Arabidopsis thaliana: one gene and its partners. The protein of the gene in region 2 interacts with the protein of the main gene of each other region in a pairwise test. Each region holds a gene or a part of one and is shown on either strand. Other genes may lie near its edges. The genes, in order: NF-YC10, NF-YB6 and NF-YC7.

What was found.
Region 1: the proteins of NF-YB6 (region 2) and NF-YC10 interact in binary tests that used the Arabidopsis thaliana proteins (3 or more experiments, as listed by UniProt).
Region 3: the proteins of NF-YB6 (region 2) and NF-YC7 interact in binary tests that used the Arabidopsis thaliana proteins (3 or more experiments, as listed by UniProt).

What each region holds. Positions count from the first base shown.
Region 1 is NC_003070.9:2,470,165-2,482,116, reverse strand, and holds NF-YC10 (nuclear factor Y, subunit C10), read left to right. Parts: upstream 1-6,988; 5' UTR 6,989-7,206; coding exon 7,207-7,626; intron 7,627-8,069; coding exon 8,070-8,154; coding exon of another isoform or gene 8,155-8,165; exon of another isoform or gene 8,166-8,391; coding exon 8,392-8,433; intron 8,434-8,520; coding exon 8,521-8,594; 3' UTR 8,595-8,952; downstream 8,953-11,952. Other genes in the region: AT1G07990 (SIT4 phosphatase-associated family protein), read right to left, coding at 75-145, 292-321, 405-537, 820-902, 1,075-1,197, 1,358-1,520, 1,608-1,711, 1,842-1,939 and 10 more; AT1G07985 (uncharacterized protein), read right to left, coding at 6,175-6,609; AT1G07970 (cytochrome B561, amino-terminal protein), read left to right, coding at 9,599-9,804, 10,021-10,076, 10,170-11,071, 11,229-11,427, 11,682-11,885.
Region 2 is NC_003076.8:19,309,792-19,321,584, forward strand, and holds NF-YB6 (nuclear factor Y, subunit B6), read left to right. Parts: upstream 1-4,986; 5' UTR 4,987-5,269; coding exon 5,270-5,336; exon of another isoform or gene 5,337-5,546; coding exon 5,547-6,184; 3' UTR 6,185-6,378; downstream 6,379-11,793. Other genes in the region: NF-YB2 (nuclear factor Y, subunit B2), read left to right, coding at 1-195; NUDT2 (nudix hydrolase homolog 2), read right to left, coding at 600-788, 886-994, 1,067-1,101, 1,197-1,247, 1,326-1,403, 1,501-1,638, 1,742-1,807, 2,123-2,434; AT5G47660 (Homeodomain-like superfamily protein), read left to right, coding at 3,217-3,659, 4,092-4,845; TRM10 (tRNA (guanine(9)-N1)-methyltransferase-like protein), read right to left, coding at 6,538-6,789, 6,894-7,676; AT5G47690 (binding protein), read left to right, coding at 8,108-8,200, 8,863-9,066, 9,149-9,330, 9,535-9,661, 9,768-9,986, 10,197-10,413, 10,485-10,630, 10,721-10,866 and 4 more. UniProt on the Arabidopsis thaliana protein: Component of the NF-Y/HAP transcription factor complex. The NF-Y complex stimulates the transcription of various genes by recognizing and binding to a CCAAT motif in promoters. Plays a role in the regulation of the embryogenesis.
Region 3 is NC_003076.8:20,552,972-20,557,729, reverse strand, and holds NF-YC7 (nuclear factor Y, subunit C7), read left to right. Parts: upstream 1-1,971; coding exon 1,972-2,610; downstream 2,611-4,758. UniProt on the Arabidopsis thaliana protein: Stimulates the transcription of various genes by recognizing and binding to a CCAAT motif in promoters.

The DNA of each region.
Region 1 (11,952 bases), on a different chromosome or scaffold from region 2:
AGATACAGTAACTGTAGTTTAAAGCAAGGACATGAGGACACCAGTATTAACAGATAATAAAAAGATAAACTCACCTTCCTTGGTCATCCCCAAGTCTTAAGGATGAAATTACTACTTCAGCAGATTCATCGTCGAAGTAAACATCCTGTATAGTATATAAACACATTCCAATTTTCAATAGCAAACTCTTATTAGCGTACATCCCCCATACGTATCATAGTGTGATAAAAGATGTTGATAGTTTCCTTGATTTTTCAAAAAAGCGGAGAGAAGAATTTTTGCAAGACTTACATCATCGTCTCTATCAAGGGCATTGTGGTCCTGAGAGAAATACAAAGACGATAAATTCAGTACCCAGGAAATCATTCATAAATTGAAGAAAAAGCACTAGTGTGAGAAGATACCTCTTCATTGTCATCGTTTCCATATATTTTGTATCTAAATGCTTGGCTTAAGTTATTGGCCAGAGCTGCAACATCGTAATCCCTGTCTTCCTCATCGCTATCTCTTGTCCTATCTTGTAGGGTAGTTGGGCGCCTACACGTAACAATTAGTTTAGGAATTTTTATAACCAAAAAGAGTGAAGATAAAATCCAAAACCCGGGACCAGATCATGGTGCATTTACTGAGTGGTCTCGTCATGAGAAGAAATATTATTTGACTATGATACCATCAGTCATCAATGCAGAATTATCTTTGAGGGTTTTGTCCAAGAGGAACAAGGATCACACATGAATTTTTACATCCATAATCAGCATTATGTAGCAGACTGACCAATTAAATGGTTACTAGATGATTTGTGAGTAGAGGTTAACATACCCACATCCCCATCTGTTGACATTTTCAACCGTGTTGCGGTCCTGCAGAACACTACCTTGCCACTCATTCCATTCGCTGTTTTCCTAAAGATTTGGGAATGAACAAAGCACAATCAGCAAACATGGTAGATTCCAACAGAGTGCTAGGACCATTCATCACAAGACTCAACTAATGGTTTTACATTCTTTATGCGTGTGAAGTGACAAAAAAGCGGCAGAAGAAAAACAACACGACACGTATAATTTTTATACCAACCTGAAGGTATGCCTTTATCTGGCCATTGCTGTTACTCAACTGACCAATTTTATTTGATATTCTTGTGATATGCCCGACATACCCGACACGAGGTTTTTTTTTCCCGGAGGCAGCTACAGTGGGCTACCTCGCACAAAAGAAAAAGAAAATGCCAGAGAATATTTGTTTAGCTAATGAACGCTGGAGCAATGAGTCAATGGAGCTAACTTGGAGCTGTATTAAGATGACTCTTTCATATGCTGATGATCAGTTAAACCTTTGTGAACATAGCAAATGGTAATACCTGGCTATCACCTAAGAGGTTTGAGTCCCTGTCCGACAAGAGGAATTTGCCAATCAGATCGCAGTCTCGAAGAATATGGTTAACCATCAAATCGCTCTTGTTTTCCAAACAAGAAAGTATTATACTCTCCACTTGATGATGCAGAGCATTATTGTACGGGTACCTTCATATGTCGAGAGTATTTGATTTTTTAAGATCTCGTAGAAATAGCACACGGTAATCACAAAATTTTAAGTTTAGCAAAACCTACTCGAAAAACAGATCAAGGGTCCTTTTGATTGTTCCTGAACTGACTAATTCCTTTTGTGCAGCTTCACTTCTAGTTTTCAACAAAACTGCAATGAACTCCACAATCTGAAACAAAGAAAATAAGATAAGTGAGTCTAATTAAGTATAGAGACTTTACATACAATATATTAAGAGCACTGTTGGTGTCCTAAAAACGACAATGTCTTCCATAAAATGCTCCATGTTTGGACCTGACCTTTAGACGATGCTTTCCGAGAGGAGGCCTCAGTTCACCATATGTTGTAGGCAATACTGTGCTATCAGATGCTACAGTGAGAAGCATAAGCAAGTCATCTGCAGAAAAAAAAAAAAATATTACTTAAGGTCATTGAATGCATAAAACCTGATTTGAAAAACTTGTATGAGACAGTATCATACATATCCAAGATGTGCTACGTAAGCATTCCAGAATTATGTAAAACCAGTTTCCATTTATCAATATAAACCAAAATAGAAGAGACCAAATAGAGAGCAGGGAAGATCAAACAGAACGTCCAGATAGATGCTAAATACTCTAGGTATCCTCGCAAATGGAAAGTAATATCACATAAGAAAAGGATTGACTATTGTCCAAGTGCACAATAAGATTATGTGCATGCAACAAATAAAAAAGCCAGAAAATTAATAATCTTGATGGTCATGTGACGATGGTGCATCATAGGATCCAACTTACTGAGTTTGGGCAGCATGGCACCAATAGTTTCTGGGGAAACTGGGACAGGAGACTCGAACATATGTTGACCTCTGTAAGAATTGAACATAGAAGATGAAACAGCAGATCTCCTCGGATCCAGAAGAGAGGTGCATACTGAAAGTGAATGAACTAGACCGGATTTTGAATGCGAGTCTTCAAGAGCATGACCAAATATCTTTGCAACGTAGCTGCAAAAACAGGGAAAAAGTTGTGCTGCCATGTGAAACACTTTTGTATCATCTATCAAAGCATTAGGAATCATCATGGAAGAAAGATTACAAACCCAGGGCTAGAGAGCTGCGTAGCTAAAGCTGACGGTGCATTCCGAGAAATTGCACATAATGTTTCTGCTGCATTTGCCTGAACCTCCGGAGGACTCTGATTCAAGTTGTAATGCAAGAAACATATCAGAATGAAGATGATAGAAGAAATTAGTAATATCATCAGATATCCTAGATTTACACCACCTACAAGTATCAAAGAGAAAACCAAGAGCCTCTTGTCTCTGGGATGATTATAGAAAAGCTTAACCACTTACAGATGGTTTAAGTTTGTCCACGATCATTTCAAGTAAATTGCTATCAGCCAACCATTGCATCACATCCAGAAAGTTGGGATAGACTTGGTCATCAGCCCCAACCAAGCGAACCAAAACCTAGAAAAAGTCGCGTAAATATCATAGCAAAAAAGACCTCTGAAACCACACCAAGTTGCACTGAGTCTAAGTCAAACCAATTACCTCCATGATGGATGTTATCCCAATCAAATCAACTAACTGGCAGAAAACATTTTGATGCCCCTGTGATCATCAAAAGTTACTTTGAGAACTGAATACAAAACAAATAACAAAAAAATTCAACTAAATTGTCTGTCACATCAATATAATTGCCAGCAATTGAAGAATAGAGTCATGTCAATCTCATCTACTAACAATTTACTAAATAGACGGACATCTGGCTTGCGAGATTACAATGGAAGGTAATATCAATTCTGAATAGAAGAGTTAACAGAAAATAAGACGTATTCTACAGTACTCCTGGATAATCCTAGAAATCAGTTCAAATAGTTTCCATAATATATTTCTCATATAGTTTACCATCCGTTTAACTATGTGTTATTACTTACTTTTACATAATTCATAAGCGCTGCAGTTTTTCTGATCATAAGGCAAATGACAACCTACACCAAACAGAGAGAAGTAAGAATCACTTCTCGGAGCCTTGAAATGAAGTCATATGTATCGGTACAAACAAAACAAAAGAAAATTACAGGAACTTGGCTAATACGTAAACTTATGTATCGTAAGAGAGAATACCTTGCTGAAATAGCCTGCCAGCAATGCACTATGAGGACGATTTGGTTCCAGAAAGGAAAAAAGCAAGTTCATCAGCTGCAAGATAAAATTATTCGAACAAATGAGAATCTAGGATAACAATAAACATAATCCAGATGCACAGAAAAGTGAAAAGTATGAACTGCTATTTGAGGAAAAGGTAGTAGGATGAATGAAAAATACCTCTTCATCCTCGACCAAAGTTTTTAGAATAACATCAATTTCACATGTAAATATTTCACAAGAGATGAATGGAAACCTAAAAGAGAAGAAACTATTATTAGTTAGAGAGAAAAGAAATCCAGAACCATTCAAAAGAAAAGTGGATAAAAGGCAAAAGGAGAGGATGGTAAGACAAGGTAATTCCAGTTAGAATCAAGGAAGCATATTACTTGAAAGCACGTTTACTATCAGCATCCTGTGGAGGTTCTTCAACAATGTACCGCAATAATTGCTCCACTTGAGCTTTATCCCTTAGACTGCAGACATTAATACCCAATCAATAAAGTCATCCAAGAAAATACGAAGGAAATATGGGACTCCTTAACTAAAACTCCGCAGATAGAGGAGACATAGGATTCAACATACACCATAGGGTTTATCTGGTTCTATGAAACAGATAATGAGGAATATAAGCCAATTATAAATGATTAAAAAAAGCTTACAAGTTAATGAGCCTGCTATTCAAAGCCTTGCATTCTTGAATAATCTCTTCCTCATCAAGAAGCTCTTCCAACGTGAAATTTTCTTTGTCTAATATTATCTCCACCTGCGCTCATAACAAAAGGAAAGAACATCAATACATGAACAATTCACGACTCAGAGACAATAATTCAAAAAATTGAAATCTAGCAAATCCAAAAATTCGACATAAATTATATGAAAAAGCAAAGCAACGGATAGAAACTCCAATAATCTAATTCTAAAGCATATCAGTATCTGTAGACAAGATGAACGCTAACATACAACACGACATCTAAAAATTCAACTCACAGGAGATGATGCAGAGAGAGATGTGAGCTTCCAAAACATGGTGGCGAGGGAGGAGTGGAGCTAGAGAAAGTTTCGCCGTAGCTGAAGAGAATAAGGAGAACTTGGCGAGATCCGCCAGAAACCTAGAAGAAAAATCTAGGTAATCGCTTCTTCGCGGTGGAGGAGTATCGATTTCAGCTCGAAAACCCTAATCGATCAGTGAAGAAAGAGATTGAGAGATCCTAAAGATGATGGAAGCGGAGATGGGAGATCGGAGGTCGAAAATTTTGAAAATTAAGAGGCCGAATTTTGCATAAAGAAGGGGAAAAGTAAAAAATGGTCTTATTATTATTTGTTATTTTATTCCTTTGATTGATTAAGAAAAAGTTGAGCGAATTATTATTAACTAAATCGCCATTTTCACAGATTTGTGTGTCTAATAAAAGTAGACTTATGATTTTTTCGTAGTCGTTGTCTGATGATCATGATTCATGACGATGGTGGTGGTGGTGGTGATAGTAACATACATCATCTTTATGGATACAATTGAATGATCGTGAGATATTGTAACAGAGAGGGGGATACTTGCGTCACCAGCAGCAGGTGACTTGTGAATTTGTTGTGATAAAGATCACATTAATTTAAATAAAATCAGCTGTTCAATTTGCGGAATAAATAGTTGGCGAAAATTGTGCTTATAAATTTTACAACGGGATGATGAAGTACAATAAGCAAATCAATTTTGTGGATAAAGAAATGCATATGATTGTCTTAAGTTTGATTTAATGGTGTAGAATAAAAACATATAAAGACAAAAGTTGGTTGAAGTGTCAAACAGAGTGAACTCCGTAAACAGCCTCTTTTTCTTCACACCTTAAGAAACCATAGACGAAAAAAAGTTTACATATTTTTAGAAAATTTTCGATCTTTAAAAAATTTATGAGGAGATTTGTTAACCTTACATAATACTTGACAAGAGAATGATGAAATTTTTTTAGACAAAAAAAAACACGTTGAAAAGTCTCATATATGATGTCACTGATTTTTAGATCAAAATGTTGACACCCCAATTTGATCGGGAAGCAAGAAAACCCGGAGAACAGATATAAAATTAAATTGTTCTATTCTACACAAAACCTTGGGCATTTGTTAAATTTTAACTATTTACGGTTTATTTTAACCATCTCCACTGAGAATTTATCGTTACGTTTATGGAAATGACTACACACATCTTCGTTTTTCTAATCATTTATAGGTGTGTACTTGTTTTTCCTTCAAATTTTCATTGTTTCACTTGAAAAGTGCACTCTGAAAAATAGAAAGTACACTGAAAATTCATTGTTGTTTTCACTTAAAAAGTGCATACTGGACAACAAAAAACCTCAACAAACAAACGATCAAACAAGAGAGTGAGAGACCTAAAGATATTTTTTTCCACTAGCGCTTCAACAAAGAAAAAAGAAGAGAAGCTTTCATTTAAACGTGGTACGTTGAAGTATACATGATGATGTAATAAAGTACTACAATGACTCAACAACGCCAGCTCTTGGAATGGATATTAGTGGGAGAAGAAGATCCAACAACTTTATCAACCAGCTTCCTCAATCCCTTCTTCTTCTTCGGGGTCTTCTTTTCCTTATCCGTCTTATCTTCTCTCTTCCTCTCTTCTTCAACTTCTTCCTCAAACTGTGAACACAGCTTAAGCACTTGCTCCTCTACATTATTAAGTCTCTCTAGCAAAGTTCCTTTCCGCTCAGTCTCCTCCCTGACTTGTTCCATCGAACGGCAGTGTACCTTCCCTATGCTCCTCGGTGACGACAGATCCATTGACGATGGCTGAGTCCCACTAGATGGAGTCGATGGGCTCGAGCTTCTAGGCGAGCTTCCTTTCATCTCCTCTAACTTCCTCACCATGAAATCAATACGATCCAATCTTGAAAGTATCGGTTCTTCTACAACAGCCATTATTGATAACAAACGACAACGTTTCCAGAAGCTTTGGTTGTGTCGGAATAGTTGAAAGACAGTATCGAAAGCAAAACTCGTCTTCTCTTATTAATAGAGTAATAATTGGAGATTGAAAGAACACGAGCTAGGCCACGTTTAAATATTGCAGAGAGAGTTCATGGAGACTCACACGTGTTGTTGATAACACGTGGTGGTTCCAGCTTGCGGACACCTCTTCTGTCTCATACTCCAACATTACCCATTCTTCCTTATCTAATCCCTAAAATTTCTTTACATTATGTCGGGAACAAGATAATGTATTTTGGATGCTTGTATAAAAACATTATCTTATCCCAAGTACATTTACCCTAATTTATTTATTTCTCCATAAACTATACAATGTTTTACGAGGTGTATGCGAAACAGTGAAAGCATGTCCAATAATTTATTTTGAAGTAGTCGTCATGCATCTTCATTCCTCAACATCACCATGTCCATTCCTTAAATTGATCATATGATAAATGGGCCTAAAAGGCTCAAACAAATAAGCCCATGTAAATATCCATCGATTTATTCAGGCGAAAGGGTGAAACATACTGTAGTTCTAAAAAATTAATGGTGTCGTCAAAGAAACCCAAGGAGAAGAAGGCGAGGAGCGATGTCGTCGTCAATAAAGCGAGTGGTCGGAGTAAACGCAGCTCCGGTTCCAGAACGAAGAAGACGTCGAACAAGGTTAACATTGTGAAGAAGAAGCCGGAGATTTACGAGATCTCAGAATCATCGAGCAGTGACTCTGTGGAAGAAGCAATAAGAGGCGATGAGGCGAAGAAAAGTAACGGCGTCGTGAGCAAGAGGGGTAACGGAAAGAGTGTAGGAATTCCGACGAAGACGAGTAAAAATCGAGAAGAGGACGATGGAGGCGCGGAAGATGCTAAGATCAAGTTTCCGATGAATCGGATTCGGCGGATCATGAGAAGCGATAATTCTGCTCCTCAGATTATGCAGGATGCTGTATTTCTTGTCAACAAAGCCACGGTATAGTACTAATTAGACATATAAATTTAGCTTGAGGAACTTAATTTCACATGGTTTTTGATGAATTTGGGAGTATCAATTGCTAGTCAGTGTTAATTGGGCGTTATAATCTCGCAAATTGCTACAGTAATGAGATTGTTTCTGTTAATTAAGCCGGGAATTAACGTTATTGCTTCATCTCCATGTGTGTTTGATGAAACCGTAGTTACTGTGCTTGATTGTCATAGGTTTAGCTTTTACATCCAGAACTTGTAGACACCTAACACATGAGAAAGTCCTTATATATGATTTAGGTTCATATTTTCAAAGCTTAAGTGATGAGTGTTTAATTTTCCTGTATTGGAACTTGGCATTGTTTTTTCTTTCTTTTGATTTCATCTTGTGTTCATCGAAATTGATGTTCATTGCGTTTACAGTACATTAACTGGTTTTTGTGATTGAAGGAGATGTTCATTGAGCGGTTTTCTGAAGAAGCTTATGATAGTTCCGTCAAGGACAAAAAGAAATTCATCCACTACAAACACCTCTGTAAGCTCTAATCTCGTCCCTATTTGCCAATATCTGGTTACCTCAATACTGAATCCCATGTCGAAAATCTCATGCTGCTGCACCAATTGCTGAACTTAGGATTTCTGGCTTCTGCACAAGGGCCAGTAGTTAGTCTTAGGAAGAGTTTAGATAATGAGTTAATCCGTTCGTATCACTTGCAAGATTTGTTGCACTCCTAACATAATTGATGACACTGTCATTTCTACTCGTTGGCAGCATCCGTAGTGAGTAACGACCAGAGATACGAGTTCCTTGCAGGTACTTAATAACCTCTGAAGTATTCGTTTTATGAGTTCCATGTGGTTTACGAACAGCATTTTAATACCTGTAATATCTTGAATGCAGATAGTGTTCCCGAGAAACTTAAAGCAGAGGCCGCGTTGGAGGAATGGGAAAGAGGCATGACAGATGCAGGCTGAAATAAATCCGGTTGGAATCGAACTGAACCATTTGGATTCAAATTTGTGTCCCTGTCCTGGTTTATACTTCATAGGTTCCATCCGCCCGATCTTCACCTTTCTTATTAACCACTACTGAGATTGCACATATTTGATTTCTAGAATGTATACATTTTTTTTCTTGTTTCAAGTTAAAATTTGTAAGAGTTGTCGGAATTCTAATATCTTTCTTTAGTATCTATATATACATTTTTGCAGCCATTTTGTGAAATAAATTTTGTAGTTGGACTTATTTACAATGGCTGCCACTGGATTTTGATGTTTGTATTTGATAATTAGAAAGAAAATCTTCGAATTAAATATTTGACATTTAACAATCTTTCCAAAATCTCTCCACATTAACTAAACAGAGACAAAATTACAAAATATTTAGACAATGATTCATAAACATATCATAAATAAGATCAACATTAATAAAATAAATGGTTTTTTTTACTGGACGGGTTTGACAGGACGTTACTTAATAATAATTGTAAACTATAAAATAAAAATATTTTATAGTTAGATACAATTTGTAAACTTTTATATATACTAACATTAAAAAATAAATTGTTTCCGCGGTGTACCGCTGAGTTAAAATCTAGTTATAATTATAGGACAATTGGTCAGAAAATATTTAGAAAATATTTTTACCATAATTATTCTTACTAATCAAATTATAATATTAGTAAAACAAGCCAATTATCAAAAAAAGGTTTTTAAAATCATTCTTCTAGACCAATTTGAAAAAACTTTCCACATTTTCTTTTCTTTTTACACATTTTATAATTCTGTTATAAAATAAATAATCCAAAATAAGAGTTTGGGGGTAAAACTAAAAATTCAAATAATATGATGGGTATGAATAAAAATTAGGGTGGGTCCACCAGAAGCAGCGACTGAGAGCAGCTCTCAGCCGGGAAAATCCGACGATCCCTAAAACCCTTTTCCTTCTCTTTGGTTTGCTCGAGAAATCGTTTCCTGCCATGGATTCTGATGTGAGGAGGAAGATTAACAACACTACTCAGGGTTCGTCCCCTTCTCCGAAGCCCTCCAAGTTCTCTGTGTACCGGAACCCTGCTCTCGCCGCCGCTTCCACCGCCAACAGCATCCGTCCTTCGAAATCCGTTCTTCTATTCATATTCTTGCTCTCTATCGCTTCCGCTTTCTCTCTCATCTCCTTCATGGCCGGGTACTTGCCAGCATTAGCTTGAGCTTCGTACATTCCCTCTTAGTTGCATTGTTGGAGTATTTGTCTAGGTTTTGGAATATTTCTGGTTAGCTAGAAAATCTCGACTTGAGTCCTTAGTTCTTATTCTTTATCATTTGCTTTCTCTGTGAGTTAGGATTGCTCAATCTGGGAAAGATCTACCATGATAATCATTTGCTTGTTTATCTTATGTTACAGGGAGAAATGGTTGACCAATGCTTTAACATTCGGGAAAATATCCCAAGAGGCAGCTTGTGAGTTGCATTTTTTTCTTGAGAGATTTCCTTTTTAACCTTTTGTGTTTTATTAGTTTCGTAATATATCTAAAATCTTACCTTGTGGTTCAGATGTCACTGTAAAAGCGTGGCAGGGGCTGGTGACTTTGTTTTGTATTGGAGCAATGATGGCTTTGTCCAAAGGCATATCTTTGCACAGAGCAAAGTTTGCTGCTCGAGGAGAAACTAAATCTTTCTCTAAAGAAACCAAAGATCAGTTTTCTTTATCAAATCGTCAGCTTGAACTTCTTGGGATAAAGAAAAAAGCTGACCAGAGTGTATCAGAATTTCCAAAGAGTCGTCCTGCATTGAAACCTGCACAGTCATTGGAGCCGCTTGTCCCAATACACCATCAAACTCTTACTGGTTCAGCTCATAAGTCTTCTGGTGGTGGTGATAAGCTGAATTCCCGTAATGGAAGCCAGATTAGTTCATTTAGCACTCCCTCAAAACAAATGGGTTCACCGTCTATGTATCTTGTCCCTTCTAGCTCACCAGTTTCTTCTAACCGTCTTTCGTCGGGTCAGGATAAGGCTGTCTCTAGTCCTTGGTCTGGTAGACGAAGTTCTGCAAAAGACATAACTACCGAGGAGCAGCTTGAGCAGCTTTTGGCAGAAATAGATGAGAAAATCACTGAGTCGGCTGGGAAGATGCGTACGCCTCCACCAACAGTTGGGAGTTTTGCCATGGCTAGCCCGAGTACAGTTGGTGGTTCAACTGGTGCATCTGGGGCTACTAGGAGTACACCACTAAGACCTGTCAGGATGTCTCCTGGCGCTCAGAAATTTACGACTCCCCCAAAGAAAGGAGAGGGTGATTTCCCCAACCCAATGTCCTTAGAAAGGGCTATCGAAGGTTTTATTCATCTAGGTGTCTATCCTCAGATAGAAGACTGGCGTGACCGACTAAGGCAATGGTGTTCCTCAGTGTTGCTCAAACCTCTGCTTAACAAGGTTGAAACCAGTCATATTCAGGTTTGTTTCTGGAGTCCTTTTAAAATAAACACTGGCCTTCCTATACTTGTCTGCTGATGAATGAGTTGATAACCACATCCGAATCAGAGGCACAAGAAGAATTTCTTGTTTCCCTATGTTGCTGTGAAAGAGATTTTAAACTTTGTCATTTGTGTAGGTAATGCAAACAGCATCAAAGCTTGGTGTTAATGTCACAGTTAGTCAAGTTGGAAGTGATTTGCCAACAAATGGAACCGCTACAACTGCCTTACCGGTTGATCGAACGAAGGGGTGGCAGCCATCTTACTCTCTCGATGAAGATGCTCTTCTTCACCAATTACGCGCTAATCTTGTACAGGCTATTGATGCTTCCATGCGTAAGTAACATTCCTACAGCTTCTACTGTGATGTGGTCCGAATGGTTGTCATTGTTAAGTTGAAGTGCTGTTCTGTTGTTTTGAAAATATTGTTATCAACTTAAGACTTCATGTTTCTCAATAAATTACTGAATTTAAGAATGTTGTAATTGATTGGATATCTGAGAGAAATAATGATATCATGTCATTTATGTGTTGTTGCTAAATGTTTGGGTCTTCATATAGTTGCTAATTCTTTCTTCTGGCATCTGCAGAAAAGCTGCGTACAGAGAACCAGCAGTTTCAGCAACAGCAACAACAACAGCAACAGCAAGCGGCACTAATCCCTGTCATGCAGGAATGTGTTGATGCTATAAGTGAACATCGGAGGCTTCAGGGCTTAATGAAAGGAGAGTGGGTTAAGGGCCTACTTCCGCGCAGCAGTATTCCAGCAGATTACACAGTGCAAAGAATCCGAGGTATCAAACATTTTAAAAAATTCCAATTCCAATTTTAGTCGATTAGTCATGACTCTTATAACTCTTG
Region 2 (11,793 bases):
CCACAGACTGGTGGTGAGGTCGGAGAGCATCAGAGAGATGCTGTCGGAGATGGCGGTGGGTTCTACGGTGGTGGTGGTGGGATGCAGTATCACCAACATCATCAGTTTCTTCACCAGCAGAACCATATGTATGGAGCCACAGGTGGCGGTAGCGACAGTGGAGGTGGAGCTGCCTCCGGTAGGACAAGGACTTAACAAAGATTGGTGAAGTGGATCTCTCTCTGTATATAGATACATAAATACATGTATACACATGCCTATTTTTACGACCCATATAAGGTATCTATCATGTGATAGAACGAACATTGGTGTTGGTGATGTAAAATCAGATGTGCATTAAGGGTTTAGATTTTGAGGCTGTGTAAAGAAGATCAAGTGTGCTTGTTGAACAATAGGATTCACTAACGAATCTGCTTCATTGAATCTTGTATGTAACTAAAGCCATTGTATTGAATGCAAATGTTTTCATTTGGGATGCTTTTATGTTTTGGTGAGAGTTATGTAGTGATTCAAGTGTCAAAATGCTTACATAGAGAGGCAGCAAAGAAACCAGCTTCGTTAGAATCTGTGAGGAAAGCTCTGTTTGTTGAGAAAGAAGGTCAATTGCGCGAATGTAAGTCGCGGGTGTTGTAGTACAAGTTGCCTTGTTGATCAGGTGCAGAGACGCGGAGAGGAGTGAAGCCTTCGTAGTCTCCGTTGGTTTTAGCAGAGCAAATGTCTGTCATATACCTCAATAGCTCATAATTTTGTACAAATGGTTGATTTATGTATTCCTCCCAAGGCATCCACTGCACCAAATTCCCATTTTCAGAAAGAGAAGAGGTTTATGAGTGTTTTAGTGGATGAGACTGGAGAGTCGTTGAAGTGAGGAGCAAAAACTGTTACCTGAGCTGCCTCAATCTCTGACTCCTGTGCGTTGATCTCCAAAGAAAGGGGCTTTAACATGCACACGAAGAACAAATCTGACTTTCCAAAGAACGCTTTGTGTGTTTGTCTGCCAGAATTTTAAAACAGACGAGAATCAGTTATGTTGCAATATAGAAGATTATGCAGTTGGAGTTGCTACCTGAAGGCCAATATTTGGTCGAATTCTGTATCCACCTGAAAACATACGATGCAGAAGAGTGGGATTAGCTCTTGGTCTCATGTAAACTGTAAAGAGGACAGTGAAAAGTTGAGGCATGAAGAAGCCTTACTCCGGTCTCTTCTTTCACCTCTCTGACTGAGCCATCATGAATGTCTTCACCCTGACTCAACACAAACACAAAAAGGCGAATCAGAGAGCTGAACCTAACCATGTAATGAGCTTTAATAAGAACCAGCACCTCATTCACAACTCCGGTGGGGAACTTCCAGATACCTTGACCTTGAAATCTCCCTGTCTTCTCTTGAACCACCAGCACCTTTGGATTCAAATACAGAAAAGAAAAGAGATGTGATCCATTCTTGGAGATGTTCCAAAAAGACACACTAAAAATCTCATCTCATCAGTAATCAAACCTCTTTGTTGTGGTTAATGACAAAGGCACCTATGCCAACACGGTGAGATGCATTGGCAGGAAGCGTATCGTCTTCTTTGGGAATCCAATAGACAAGCATCAAGTAGTCTTTCTCCGCGTGGTGAAACCAGAATCCCTCCTACACATAATACACAACCAGTAAGTGATATGAAGACTCTCCAAACAATAAGCAAAAGGGGGTTTAAAGATATCTGATTGCGCATTAGGTAACAAAACAAGACCTTAACAGCAGTTTCAGCAAGACCAATAAGCTGCTTTGGCAACTTGATCCACACTCCCTTTTTGCCCTGCGTACATAAAAACGTTTGTAAACATTTCACAGTAGATCGGTTCATAGTCCTATTCACCGTCTATTACTGTAGTGGAAAAGTTGAATTTAATTTTTTTTGCAGCAAAGTGAAAGAGAGTTTCTGGCCCGCATTAGAATACAACAATTTTCAAGCGGAATAGTGACACTAACACTTTTAACACCCAAACTTTTACAATGATTCTTCTATGTAACAACAAATCGGTACCAGTATCTTGATTCGGATAACAAAATTTGTCATTTTGATCGAATCCAATAAGATCAAATTTAACAAGAGGAAGAAGGAAGAGAGAACCTGAAGAGTCCAGGTAGATAGAGAGGATCGGAGAAGTGTGGAGAAGAGAGAAGGATCCATGGGATGAGTCATCTCGGTCATCACGCCACCGTACTTGTCTTGAACAGACGGAAGCAGTGTTGTTGCGTCCTCACGGGACATGGGATTTGTGGAGGAACTAGAAGCAGACATGGATCTGTTCCTCGTGGTGGAGCAACTGTGAAACGCAGAGAACCCATCAGCCGGAGGAAAACGAAGACGACGGCCATTATTCTTATTACACAACAACAATTTGATTAAACCATAACTTTTGGCCAAACGGCAAGTCATCATTACGAGAGAAGAAAAAACAAAACTCTCAACTCAATTTACACTAAAGATTTGTCCTAAATAAGTAACAGACAAAACAAATTCTATATAAATCTGAAAGTTTTTAAATTGCTAAATAGATTGATCACTCGTTTGAAGGATTTGAGCATACAAAACCTGTTTTTTCACTTTGCGGTTCCCTTTCTACAACGTATGATGAGTGAAATAATAATAAAACAAGGAAGTAATCTATTTTTCTTCTAAAATATGTCAATAAAGGCCAAAGAAAATATTCTGTTACTGTATATTTCTATCACAAGAACATAAAAACTTCAATATTTTCTGTTTAAGAAGGTTAAGGTCAAAGGTTAATACGTACGTGGAATAGTTTCTCTGGATTGTTTGTGTTGTGACACCTACGCTTGATAGAGAAATTACCAATGATTTTCTTCTAATTTTTCTCAGATTCCCAATCTTAATATGGATTATGGATTATGATATAAAATATGTCGGTATCTCCGCGGCTTTCGCTGAGCCACACGGGGCTAAAGTGTTTTTTGCCTTTACACAAAACTGGTGTAGATACAAATTACAGAACATATTCAGCTCAGGTGGGCTCGGGTCGGGTCATATAACGACGGGTAAGAAAACGACTGAAGTGAAGTGAGGATAAAATGGAGGTTATGTTACTCCTTTGAGGGTATAAAGGTAAATATAGAGTTTTTTACCCTTTGAATTGCTTTTACTTTGGGCAGTCTCTTCTGGATTTCACGCCGCCCATTTTATTTTTTTTACCTTTTCCCGAAATGGAACTTCTCGCCGGCGACTGTCGGAAACGAGTCGGCGACGACTTTGAGGAAGATATTAACCCATTCGATGGTTCGGACGGTGGTTGCGGGTGGATGTACGGTACCCGTCAAATGGGTTCTAACGGAAACGACGACGCTTTGGCTACGCTCGCAGACTTGGCTTCGCCTCCTCAGAAATTGAAACCTATAAGGTGTGGCGTTAAGCTTCCGTCGTCGTCGGAGGATCGACATCCTCTTGATATTCTCGCCGGAACCCTAGATAGGCTGCCGGAGATGGGTTTTGGCTGCTTCGAAGCTCCTTTGGGATCGAAGATTGCTGACGTGGAGGAAAGTGGTCAATTGACTCGTGGGTTTTCAAAGGAAGAGGATGATTCTCTTCCTCCTCTTCAAATGGAGTTTCAAGCTCGAAATCGCATCTCTTGGGATGGTCTCTCTCTCAGGTATAAATCTCACCATTAAAAATGTGAGCTTTTTGTTCAACTTTGGATCTGTTACTGTGAAAAGTTGTTACTTTTTTTCTGTATTATTAAGAGTCTAATTTTTTTTCACGTTTATTAGAAGCTTGTTTGGTAGAGACCTCCTAAACACATTCTCTTCCTCTTGATATATTTGAGCTTTGCGGTATCATTTGATTCTAGATTGGTTGACTGGTGCATCACTGAACACTCTCAGCTTAAAGCATTAAACTTTGCAGATATCAATCAGATTGGTGTGCCGTCATTACAAGCTTTTACAGTGTTGGTTTATACCACTTCTAAGCAGTGTTTGTCTATATATTCTGCGGAACTTTTGGATTATTAGTTCTTAGATAGTGTAACCATGTTGGAAGCTTTGAGTTTTTGATAAGTACTTTCCAATTTTTGATTTTGCAGCTCCTCTGTTGATAGCAGCGATAGTGACTCATCTCCAGACGTTCGCAAGACCGTCACGGGTAAAAGAAAGCGGGAAACAAGGGTAAAGCTGGAGCATTTCTTGGAGAAGCTTGTGGGGAGTATGATGAAGCGGCAGGAGAAGATGCATAATCAGTTGATTAATGTGATGGAGAAGATGGAAGTGGAGAGAATACGCCGTGAGGAAGCTTGGAGGCAACAGGAAACCGAGAGGATGACACAGAATGAAGAAGCACGGAAGCAAGAGATGGCACGCAACTTGTCTCTCATCTCTTTCATCAGAAGTGTTACTGGTGACGAGATCGAGATCCCTAAACAGTGTGAATTCCCGCAACCACTCCAGCAGATTCTTCCGGAACAATGTAAAGACGAGAAATGTGAATCCGCTCAGAGAGAAAGAGAGATAAAGTTTAGGTACTCAAGCGGCAGTGGCAGCAGTGGTAGAAGGTGGCCGCAAGAGGAAGTGCAGGCATTGATAAGTTCGAGAAGCGATGTGGAAGAGAAGACGGGGATCAACAAGGGAGCGATTTGGGATGAGATATCAGCAAGAATGAAAGAAAGAGGGTACGAAAGATCTGCGAAAAAGTGTAAGGAGAAGTGGGAGAACATGAACAAGTACTATAGGAGAGTGACGGAAGGTGGGCAGAAACAGCCTGAGCACAGCAAGACTCGCTCATACTTTGAGAAACTTGGAAATTTTTACAAGACCATTTCCTCGGGAGAGAGGGAAAAATGAGTGAAAGATTTTAAATTTAGGTGTTTTTGGCACGCAAAACGGGAGAACTTGTAGATGATTACCTCGAGTTTAATTTTTATATCTTTGGTGTAGTTTATAATTTAAAACTCTACGGCTCTGTATTTGTAGAAGGTTCGAATAAAAAAGACAAATACGTTGGGGTGATTGGGATTTTGTAACGGCTAAGGGAGACGAGGAGAAGGATCCTCGGTCACATCGATTATGGCTGCCACGTTGTTGAACTTGTGAGGTCTGAAATTACAAATGCTGACACTTGCCAACACTATTAGCTTTATTCCAATTACTCTTTCTTCTCTCTCATTCCATTCTCTTCTTCAAATGCTTCTTAATTTCGGGCATTGGTTATTATTATTTATAGGGATATTCACAAACACAAAAGTCGTGTATTTAGAACAAGAAAGATATGGAACGTGGAGGCTTCCATGGCTACCGCAAGCTGTCCGTGAACAACACCACTCCTTCTCCACCAGGTAGTGCCATTCTCTATACCCCCTCTTTTCACAGGCTCTCTTCATTTCAGTTGCATGCGAAACCATTCTCTGCAATCCCTCCATTGTCATGTCTGTACTCTTTTCATGACGAACAGTTAATGAAATAGCTTTTCAATCTTATAAACCGCGCATGCAGACGTCATCGAAGCCATTATGCACTAAAACTTCCATTTTTCTTATTTTTGTTAGGATTAGCAGCGAATTTTCTGATGGCAGAGGGCAGTATGCGTCCTCCAGAATTCAACCAGCCTAACAAAACCAGTAATGGTGGTGAGGAGGAGTGCACGGTGAGGGAGCAAGACAGGTTCATGCCTATTGCCAACGTGATACGGATCATGCGGAGGATCTTACCTGCTCACGCCAAGATCTCAGATGACTCCAAGGAGACGATCCAAGAGTGTGTTTCGGAGTACATCAGCTTCATAACAGGGGAGGCTAATGAGCGGTGCCAGCGGGAACAGCGCAAGACCATCACTGCTGAGGACGTCTTGTGGGCAATGAGCAAGCTCGGTTTTGATGACTACATCGAACCCCTCACGTTGTACCTCCACCGCTACAGAGAGTTGGAAGGTGAAAGAGGGGTTAGCTGCAGTGCTGGGTCCGTTAGTATGACCAACGGCTTGGTGGTCAAGAGGCCTAATGGGACCATGACCGAGTATGGAGCCTACGGGCCTGTGCCAGGGATTCACATGGCGCAGTACCATTATCGTCATCAGAACGGGTTTGTTTTCAGTGGTAACGAACCTAATTCTAAGATGAGTGGTTCATCTTCAGGAGCAAGTGGCGCCAGAGTTGAAGTATTTCCGACTCAACAACATAAGTACTGAGAACAATGGCTAATAACATAGACAGCTGACAGAGTCATAACTGTTAGTAGGTGCAAGCTGTAGCTTATGAATTCAAGTTTAAGCGAAAACAATGCTGCTTTTTCTTTGTTTATTATCTATCTAGTTGAAAGAACATTGTGTTTTTCATCTGATCTGTCTTGTGGTAAAGTATGTCAATAAAGCATTAGTTTTGCAAACCGCATGCATGTGATATTACAAAATTCACGGTGAATTCGTAATGCGTCTTGGTTCAAAATAGAAAGAGACTAAACATTCCAGATTTCAATTCTCAGCTACAGAAATGAGTGTTTAACGGATACAGAAACAACTCTCACAATCTTCATTCATTTCATTTAGCTACTACTTTCCAAAGGAACTTCAACGCATACCTTTTTCCTCTCCAGAAGATCATGTTTGTCTGCACTCTCGTTTGCCTCAGTATCTTTCTCCTGATGCTCTTCAGATATATGTTCCAATTTCGAACAATCAACAGGATCAAGTCCGGTTCTTTTCCTCTGAGGAATCACAGTGAAGAAGGCTGTTTTCCAGTCCCTAGTCTCCAGAAACTTGACGAGTATCTCCAAAACTTGGTTCACAGTGAGAACCTAAATCAATAAAAACCACAAATCTTACATTAACAAAGTACATAAAGTAGAGGTTTTTTGTGTTGTGCCCAATGAGACAAGAATTGAAGTGGCCATTTAGTTACCTGAGAACTTGACATTTTCATATACTCTCCTATGGGAAGCTTAGCTGTTTTAATGCCTTGTTCTTGAGCCTTGGTCATGGTGATCCCTTTGAACCGGTTTCGATCCACTAAGCCACCGATAATGTAGATATGCTTAGGGTCAAGATCATCCAAAACAGTTTCAGAATCAGCCGTAAGATACACCAAATTATCTTTCTGATCAGCCATGGCTTCAATGTAACACCTACTTTCCTTTTCAATGAACCATTTCTCAAAACCAGGAAGCTTGTCAAGCTCAGTACTCATCTTCCCTTGGACTCCTGTAAGCCATAGATGACAAGGTGAAGTGCTTCTCCCATTCACCGCATAGCAATACATAATCTGCTGAACGAGGCTTGAGATCTCAGACTCAGACATGAGATGAGCAAAATCAACATCTACTACGATCTTTTGACCTATTTCTTTAGCTTGATTCAGCCTCTCTATCTTCTTCTCCTTCTCCTCCGATCTCTTCTCCATTCTCTCCTTCCGCAGACTCTTCCTCGACTCAATAAGCTTCAGCCTCTCTTCCTCCGTCGCGTTCGCTAGGGTTTCTTCCCATTCCTTAAGCTTTCTCTCTCCTTCTTTTCTCTTATGCTCCTTCTCCTGTGCCTTCTTCTCAGCTTTCTTCGCTTCGTATCTTTGCTGCTTCAGCTGCTTCTTCTGAGCATTCTTCGACAGGGGAGGCGAAACGTTAACCGGTGCCGGTTCAGATTCTGGTTTATCGAAGCAGCCGTTGTCGTCATTTCCCGTCGCCGCCGCCATTGCCGCGAGAAAGCAAAGCGAGAGAGCAAAGAAGAAGGGTCAAAAAACTAAAATTGAAACTCCACTCAAAACGACGTCGGTATTCTTACACTAATGGGCCTGGATGTTTAAAAAGGGGCCTGTTAAACGATGGGCTTTAAGAATGGGGAAAAAGGGTAAAGAGAAGAGAAAGTGAGGGACCATCAATATAAAATAAGAGAAAATGAGGAAGCGATGAGAGACACAAAGCCGTCGTAAGTCAGCTAATCGGGGCTCTTGTTGTGTTAGAGAGAGCTCAGATCAGATGTGGCTTTCTTCTTCTTCTCCTTCTTCTTCCGCATAGTGACTCTGAGAACCAGATTATTCAAGAAAATACCCTTTTTGTTTCCTTGTTCGTTTATTGTGGCTCGTCTCTAACAGCTTCGGTTTAAGAGTTCTCTGTTTCACTCCCCATGGCTCAGAAGCCGGAGGAACAGTTGAAAGAGCTGGGATCGAAGCTTGACCTAGCTCCTGTTTCTAAAGATTCATTGCTCAAACTCTTAAAGGTGTGATTCCCCATCTCTACTTCTCATTGTCTCTTCTACAATTTCTCCAAGTTTCGATTTTTCGTTTGGAGGGAACTTTTTTCCATCTTTGTCCCCTGTTTAAATTCTGCCAAATTGGAACCGAATAAAGTTTTCAGCTTTGTAGATCCTCTTCCGTTCTGGGTAATGCTCATTAATTGAGCCAGTGTTTTCTTCTTTCGAGCTGCGTTAGGGTTAGTTTGTACCATCTTTTTCGTCTACGCTAGATTGTTCTTGCGAAATTAGGTCATGCATAAAACTCGGGACTGTTCCTAGGAGAACCAATTCAGTGTCTATAATTGCTTAGATTTGCGACTTTTATGATGTCTGCTGTTAGAATGTCGAGTTTTTAGGGTTGGCCCTAGTATTTTTCTGTCCCTGGTCATGATGGAATTGAACTGCGCTATCTTCACCAGCAATTTGACTGATGCAGTAGTTACCCCAATGTTCAGTTTCTACATTGACTAAGATGTTTCTTTATCAACCACCTTTGTGGAAATGTGATTTGCTTTTGATTGGTTTCATTGGGGTGAATTGGTCGGGTTAGTTTACTAAGATATCTCTCTCCTTAAACACTTTTCCGTGCAATACTGTGACTGATTTATCAAAAAGACTTTCCTTAACTTGTGTGTTGCTACATGCAGGAAGCTGCTGTTTGTCTTTCTGAGTTGGAGCAGTCTCCACCACCTGCAGTGCTCAAGTCCATTCAGCCTTTTCTTGATGCAGTTATTAAACCTGAAATTCTCAACCATCAAGACAAGGATGTCAAGCTTCTTGTTGCAAGCTGCGTTTCTGAGATAACTCGTATTACAGCACCTGAAGCGCCTTACAGTGATAATATTATGAAGGTTGTTTGTCCTGACTTTCCTCTGGCACCGTGATCACAGACATGTCCATTACTGATTTCTTCTGTTTCCTATCTTGTTTCAGGATATTTTTCAACTAATTGTGAGCGCTTTTGCTGGGTTGAATGATGTCAGTGGTCCATCATTTGGAAGGAGGGTTCTCATTTTAGAAACGGTTGCAAAGTACAGGTCATGTGTAGTGATGTTGGATCTTGAATGTGATGATCTGGTGAAAGAAGTGTTTACTACATTTCTTGATGTTGCTAGGTGTGTTTCACTTTCAACCTAGATTTCTTTTCTGAGTGATTATAAGTTCCGCTGATTTACAAAACATCTTCAAATTTTCTGATTTTCAGTTGTGCTTTTCGTTGGTGTTCTTGGCTAGTAATACAAAATATGAATGGTTTCTGTGATTTTTTTCTTTTCTTTTGGGCTTCATACTGAAAGATTGTTTTATTTCTGTATGTGCAGAGATGACCATCCGGAGATTGTTTTCTCATCAATGCAAAATATAATGATTGTTCTTTTAGAAGAAAGCGAAGATGTGCAAGAGCACCTTTTACTAATTTTACTCTCTAAATTGGGCCGCAATAGAAGTGTGAGCATACTCACGTTGCTGGCTCTGGCCACTGATTATAATCCAATTTAGGATTCGTTGTTTTATGGAATATCAGACAGCTCATATTCTGCATTTATGATGGCAGGACGTTAGAGATGCTGCAAGAAGACTTGCTATGAAAGTCATAGAGCATTGTGCGCCCAAAGTTGAATCTGACATAAAGCAGTTCCTTATCTCTTCAATGTCTGGAGATAGCCGATTTTCCAGCAGTCAAATTGACTACCATGAGGTTATCTATGATTTGTACCGCTGTGCTCCTCAGGCCCTATCTGGAGTTGCACCATATCTCACTGGAGAGCTTTTGGTATAATTTTATTTTTGGTCTTCTGCCACTATCTTGCACGTCAAATGTCATCATGACTCTGCCATGCACAATACTTTTATTATTATGTATTTTGTTTGAATAATCACTCTTATCCATTTGTTGTTTCAATACTTTTCATGTGGTATGAGCCCATCTTTTCAAGTAGATTGGTATTGAATAATACATAATGCATACTATTAACATATACAGGCGGATAAACTGGAAACTCGTTTGAAAGTGGTTGGATTGGTTGGAGAGTTGTTTTCCTTGCCTGGACGTGTCATCTCTGAAGAGTTCGATTCAATTTTTTTGGAGTTTCTGAAAAGGCTGACCGATAGGGTAGTTGAAGTTAGGATGGCCATCCTTGACCATATTAAGGACTGTTTGCTCTCAGATCCTTTGAGAGCTGAGGCTTCTCAAATTATATGTAAGCTTTCTTTATCATGCCATTAATATGCATTAGAATTGACTAATCTTATAGTGTTAATACTTATGTAGCTGCTCTCTGTGACCGGCTCTTGGATTATGATGAGAATATCCGCAAACAAGTTGTTGCTGTTATTTGTGATGTGTCTGTGAGTGCATTGACGTCGATTCCAGTTGACACTATGAAGTTAGTTGCTGAACGGCTTCGTGACAAAGCTGTACGTTTTATGTATTCAGTCTGGTTGTCTCTGATAGTTGCATACTAAAATTTGAAGACATTTGAACTCATAGTTCTTTTTCTAATTCAGATACTCGTAAAAACATACACAATGGAAAGGTTGACTGAGTTGTTCCGGGTATATTGCTTACGGTGTGCTGATGGGAAGGTAGACACTGGCGATTTTAATTGGATTCCTGGAAAAATCTTGAGATGTCTTTATGACAAAGATTTCAGGTGCATTTGTCTAAAACATTTTTGAACCCTGGCTCCTTTTCTTTTATTCTTGGGGTTTACTTAATTCTAGTTGATTAGTATCATAACCTTTAAAAAGATGATCTAAATATATTATATGTGTTGCAGGTCAGATACAATTGAGTATATTCTATGCAGTTCACTGTTTCCTAGTGATTTCTCAGTAAGAGATAAAGTTAAGCATTGGATACAAATCTTTTCCGGGTTTGACAAAGTGGAGACCAAAGCTTTTGAGAAGATACTGGAGCAAAGACAAAGGTGTATTTGATGACTTTTTTTATTGCACTTAAATTATTTTGAAGGATCGTTGTCATGCTGTCTTTTCGATACTGAAGATTTATTGTGGAGAATTGTTTTGACCTTTAGGATACAACAAGAAATGCAAAGATATTTGTCAATCAAGCAGACACAACAGGTTCGACCAAAGATAGTTGAAGAATTTTTCTTTTAAAAATTTTTTGGTTGGAATTTTTCCCTTTTAAGTTTCACTATCTAGAACCTTATATTCTGTCTCAATGCAGACTGCTGATGCTCCTGAGATTCAGAAAAAGATCCTATTTGGATTCAGAGTTATGTCACGTGCATTTTCTGACCCCCCAAAGACTGAGCAAAACTTTTTAATTCTTGATCAACTGAAAGATGCTAATATCTGGAAGATTTTGACTAATCTGCTTGATCCCAACACTAGCATAACGCAAGCATCCAGGATTCGGGTGAGAATAACAAGAAGTTTGTATTTACATATAGATTTACTTTCGACAACCTTATAACTGGTTTGTGGTTGTGTGCAGGATGATATGCTTAAAATACTCTCTGAGAAGCATTCTCTCTATGATTTTCTCAGCACTCTCTCCATAAAGTGTTCTTATCTGCTATTCAGTAAGGAGTATGTGAAAGAGATATTAGCGG
Region 3 (4,758 bases), 1.2 Mb from region 2:
TAGTAGACTTGTAAGCGCTTTTCTGAGAATTTGATTGTCTTTTGGAGTTAGTCTCTTACATAATATCTTGTTCTAAAATCCTCCGCCTAACACCGGTTACTCTCCGTTTAATCGCTAAGTCCATCATATCCGGTTACTCTCCGCTTAATCGTTAAGTCCATTCTATCCATGATTAATGACTAATCCCTTAAAAAATCACTCATTCGATTACTCTCCTTCTAATCCGATTACAAATTAATTATTTTTTTAAAGTAATATTAAGGGCCCCATTTCATGTAAAAGTTTTTTTCTCCAAATATATTGGGCCATTTATTAGATATTTTCAGTCAAATTAATTTTTTTATAAAATATGGCCTTTTTAAAAAATAATTCAGAAAAAATCATGGAATCATGGGCTACTGCCCTTTTGCCCATCCTATTTGGGCCGAGCTTGTTATCATCAACCTCGACCCAATGGGTGAGTCGTAAGGTGTGAGGGTCAAGACTTTTTTTATTTTTGAAGTAAAATTGATATATAAAAAACCCATATTTTATAAAACAACTTATAATTAGCCCAAAATTATAGTTCAAAACCCCATTTTTTGTTTTAAAAATAATAAGCCTGATTTTGTTTTTTAAATAAAGCTTTTTATAGCAAAAACAAATTGGGTAACCTTACATCTCTAATTTTATTTGGGATGGGGCTGATTATCATCACAAGGACTATGCATAAATGTTTTCAATAACTCCATATCAATAAAAAATAATCTGGTTTGATTGCTTTTATCCAGCTAACTAAATTTCACACCAAATGTTGAACTCATCATTGTTTTTTCTAGATTTTGCATGATTCGTTTGTTCAAGTAATCAGGTTCGACTTTCGATTAAAGCCTAAAAATCTCATGAAACAAAGGTTTTAGGCAAAGAACTCTCTATATAAATATATAGGCGCATCATTTCATAAAAAGTTTATTTCCGAAAAGTTGATGGATATCCGCTTTAGGTGACCAGTTCGATCCTAATTTCCTAACTTTTGTAATTTCTTTTTAACAGGTGACGGCAAATTATGTTTGGACCGGCCCTAAAAGTAGTAATTATTTCCTTTAAAAATAATATCTAAGGTTAAGAGAAACATATTCTTTACATAAACAATATCTTTGGATGTTTAAATTTTAAGCTTGATATTTTAACGAACTTTGGCGCGAAAACCATCTATTCAAATATCTCTTTCCACCACTTGTGTTTTCATTGATTTGGAATTGTTATCTGCATTGAGATATCTTTGAATGATGAAACATGTTCCTTTGCTACCTTTAAATTAATGCTTCAGATTAGATCGGTCTCATGCACAAGACAAATTGACATACATATTTGCATCTTTGAAATGCTGACAATATTTGCAATCTCCTAAGAATGATAACACAAAGAAGCAGGCCAAGCATTGGATTTTAAGTACACAACTATAGCTTTTTCACTCGAAGCCAAAGTCACCTTATCTATGCGGAAACTCCACATACTTTCCATTGCGCATTAGAAAATTCTCAGTTTGGTATCTTCCCACTAATTACCACTCCAAGGCACCACTTATAGTTTTCTTCTTTGACTAATCAGATCTTGGGCACAAAACCATTGACGACATTCCTCATATGCTAGCTTTCACATACTTCCCTAAATTGGTTAGTATAAAATCCACCTTATCTAAAGCTATAGTTGACTAATAGCTTTCACCTTATCTAAATTTTATAAGTTTTAAAATTTATAAAATCCAAAAAGTATTGGTTAACAAAAATTTATAATGAATAGAAAGTGAGGTTTTGTATTTTGGGATTTCACATATATTAGTAAATATTGTATAACACAAAACAAAATATTAATAAAAAATAAATTTTATTTTTGAGAAAATAGTTGGGCTGATTTCGTAGCCCACTTAATCAGCCTTTAAATATGGAAACCCTAGCCTAGAAAGTGAACAAGAAAAACGTAAAGATCAAAATGGAAGAGAACAACGGCAACAACAACCACTACCTGCCGCAACCATCGTCTTCCCAACTGCCGCCGCCACCATTGTATTATCAATCAATGCCGTTGCCGTCATATTCACTGCCGCTGCCGTACTCACCGCAGATGCGGAATTATTGGATTGCGCAGATGGGAAACGCAACTGATGTTAAGCATCATGCGTTTCCACTAACCAGGATAAAGAAAATCATGAAGTCCAACCCGGAAGTGAACATGGTCACTGCAGAGGCTCCGGTCCTTATATCGAAGGCCTGTGAGATGCTCATTCTTGATCTCACAATGCGATCGTGGCTTCATACCGTGGAGGGCGGTCGCCAAACTCTCAAGAGATCCGATACGCTCACGAGATCCGATATCTCCGCCGCAACGACTCGTAGTTTCAAATTTACCTTCCTTGGCGACGTTGTCCCAAGAGACCCTTCCGTCGTTACCGATGATCCCGTGCTACATCCGGACGGTGAAGTACTTCCTCCGGGAACGGTGATAGGATATCCGGTGTTTGATTGTAATGGTGTGTACGCGTCACCGCCACAGATGCAGGAGTGGCCGGCGGTGCCTGGTGACGGAGAGGAGGCAGCTGGGGAAATTGGAGGAAGCAGCGGCGGTAATTGAAAAGTGTTGATTGGGTTTTAGGGTTGTAATGCTTTTGTGAGAATTTGTATCTCTATCGAGTCATGTTTGTTGTTGTTGTTGTTATTATGTTTTGCTTTCGTTAATGTCATGTGTTCTGTTGTTGTTGGTGTTATGTGTAGTCTTCCATGTGAAATATCACATAGAAGACTAAACATAACATCAACAACACCAAAACACATGGCATTAACGAAAGCAAATGGAAGACAATGGAATTTTAGTTAACTCTTATTTTCTTCTTTGCTTTAGATTAGTTTATGCCAAAGAATCACCAAAATATTCGCAGTTCATTACGAAAAAACACAATGAACTAGGCATAAATGTCAATTACCATAAAAAACATATACTACTAGCTCCATCTTCTAGTTATCCTTTATGAAAGTAGAAAATCCCCATGGCTCATGGTATTAATTTTGTATACGTTGTGAATATGTAGGCATCATGATCTTAGGATCTAGTAAGAGATCTTTTTGAATCCCGAATCTATGTTCGTAAATTTTCCAGCATTTTGATTTTAAAATGGATTTTCGCGTGAAAGTTATACTCCGGTTTTATTATGCAACGAAATTTTACTTGCAAACCGCTGATATATTATTCCAGTTTTCTCAATTTGGCATGAGTTGTTTCTCACATAGTATATTTCGTTTTCAAGATATGAACATCTAATGTGTAAAAGATCTATTGAAAATATAGTTGTGGAACACCTTGAAAATTGTTGTGGATAACAAGTGTTCGTAAAACAAACATTGTTCGTAACGACCAATTAGGAGCCACATAATAAAACCAAATATTTTCACTTCGTAATCATTAGATAAAAAAAAATCTTTGAATATTTACTTTTTTTTTAAGCAATAAATCTTTCTTCTTATGAAAAGATAGAAAACAATCTAGACAATTTAATTTTTAGAAGCAATAAATCCTTCTGTTTATGAAAAGGGTCCTCACTCTTATATATATACTTGGTTTCATTTTCTTTTTACTTTAAATGGCTACATTAAAGAGTAGCCAGAAAACATAAATAAAAACTCCAAAACACTACTTTCTCGGTTTTATATTATAAGTTGTTTTAGCCAAATTATTTTGATTCTTAACATAAGATGTTTTAGACAAATAATTCAAATTTCTATGCAAGCGTAGAATTTATATACTTTTATGACTATATATATATTATGCAGTAACGAATTTCATTGGCCAAACTCACTTTAATTAACTAAATATTAAATTATGTTTTTAATTTAGAAAAAATATATAAAAAGATAAATTAATTATTTAAACTTTGTGTTTAAACATCATATTTTTTTAAACAATGGGAGTACCATAGTTACCGTTAATTTAGAGAGAAAAAGTTCTTATTTAAAACTTCAAATGTATTCGTTTTATGAGTTTCTAAAAAAACCAACTAAAGATTTTGAGTATGGAGGAAACAACGGCAAAAACTGAAGTGTGGTTTGTAATTTAAGATTTCTAACCGCTTTCGTGAGAATTTGAATTACTTTTCAAGTTATGTTTTTGAATTTAAAGTGTGTAATGTTAGGACCTAAAGACTTGAATTTCCAAATATATTCAAAAAAAAAAATGTTATGATTTTTATTGTGAAAATGGAGAGTGAAGGCAAGTTGTTAGGCATAAAATATGTAGAACAAACAATATGTATTCCTTAAAAAAGGATAAACACTTTGAAGATTTGAAGAAACGAATTTTGGATGCTTCTAGATTTTCAGAATGGATAAAATTCAAAAGAATATGCAACACTCAATTCATATCTCAAAGAGAATGAGGAAAAACTGAGGTATTCTCTATGTTAAGATAAGGAGGCAATAAAGGAGGAAGAGACATAAAATCCTAGAAAAACAATATTGTTCAACAATTGAAATTTTTTCAAACAATCATTCAAGACCTACAGATACAGTATAAATTTATTCTATTGTCAGAAACATGACCATCTAGTAGTATTAGTAGATGAATATGCATATGGCGATCATTGCTTTGATGATCTGAATAAAATCACACTCTTTCTGTTAGTTTCAAATGCTGGAGACTTAAGTTTCTTTACAAATAGATAAATTATCTACTACATCGTTGAATAGAAGTTGAGGAGTAACCAAAACATTTAGTTGAGGAAGTTGTAAC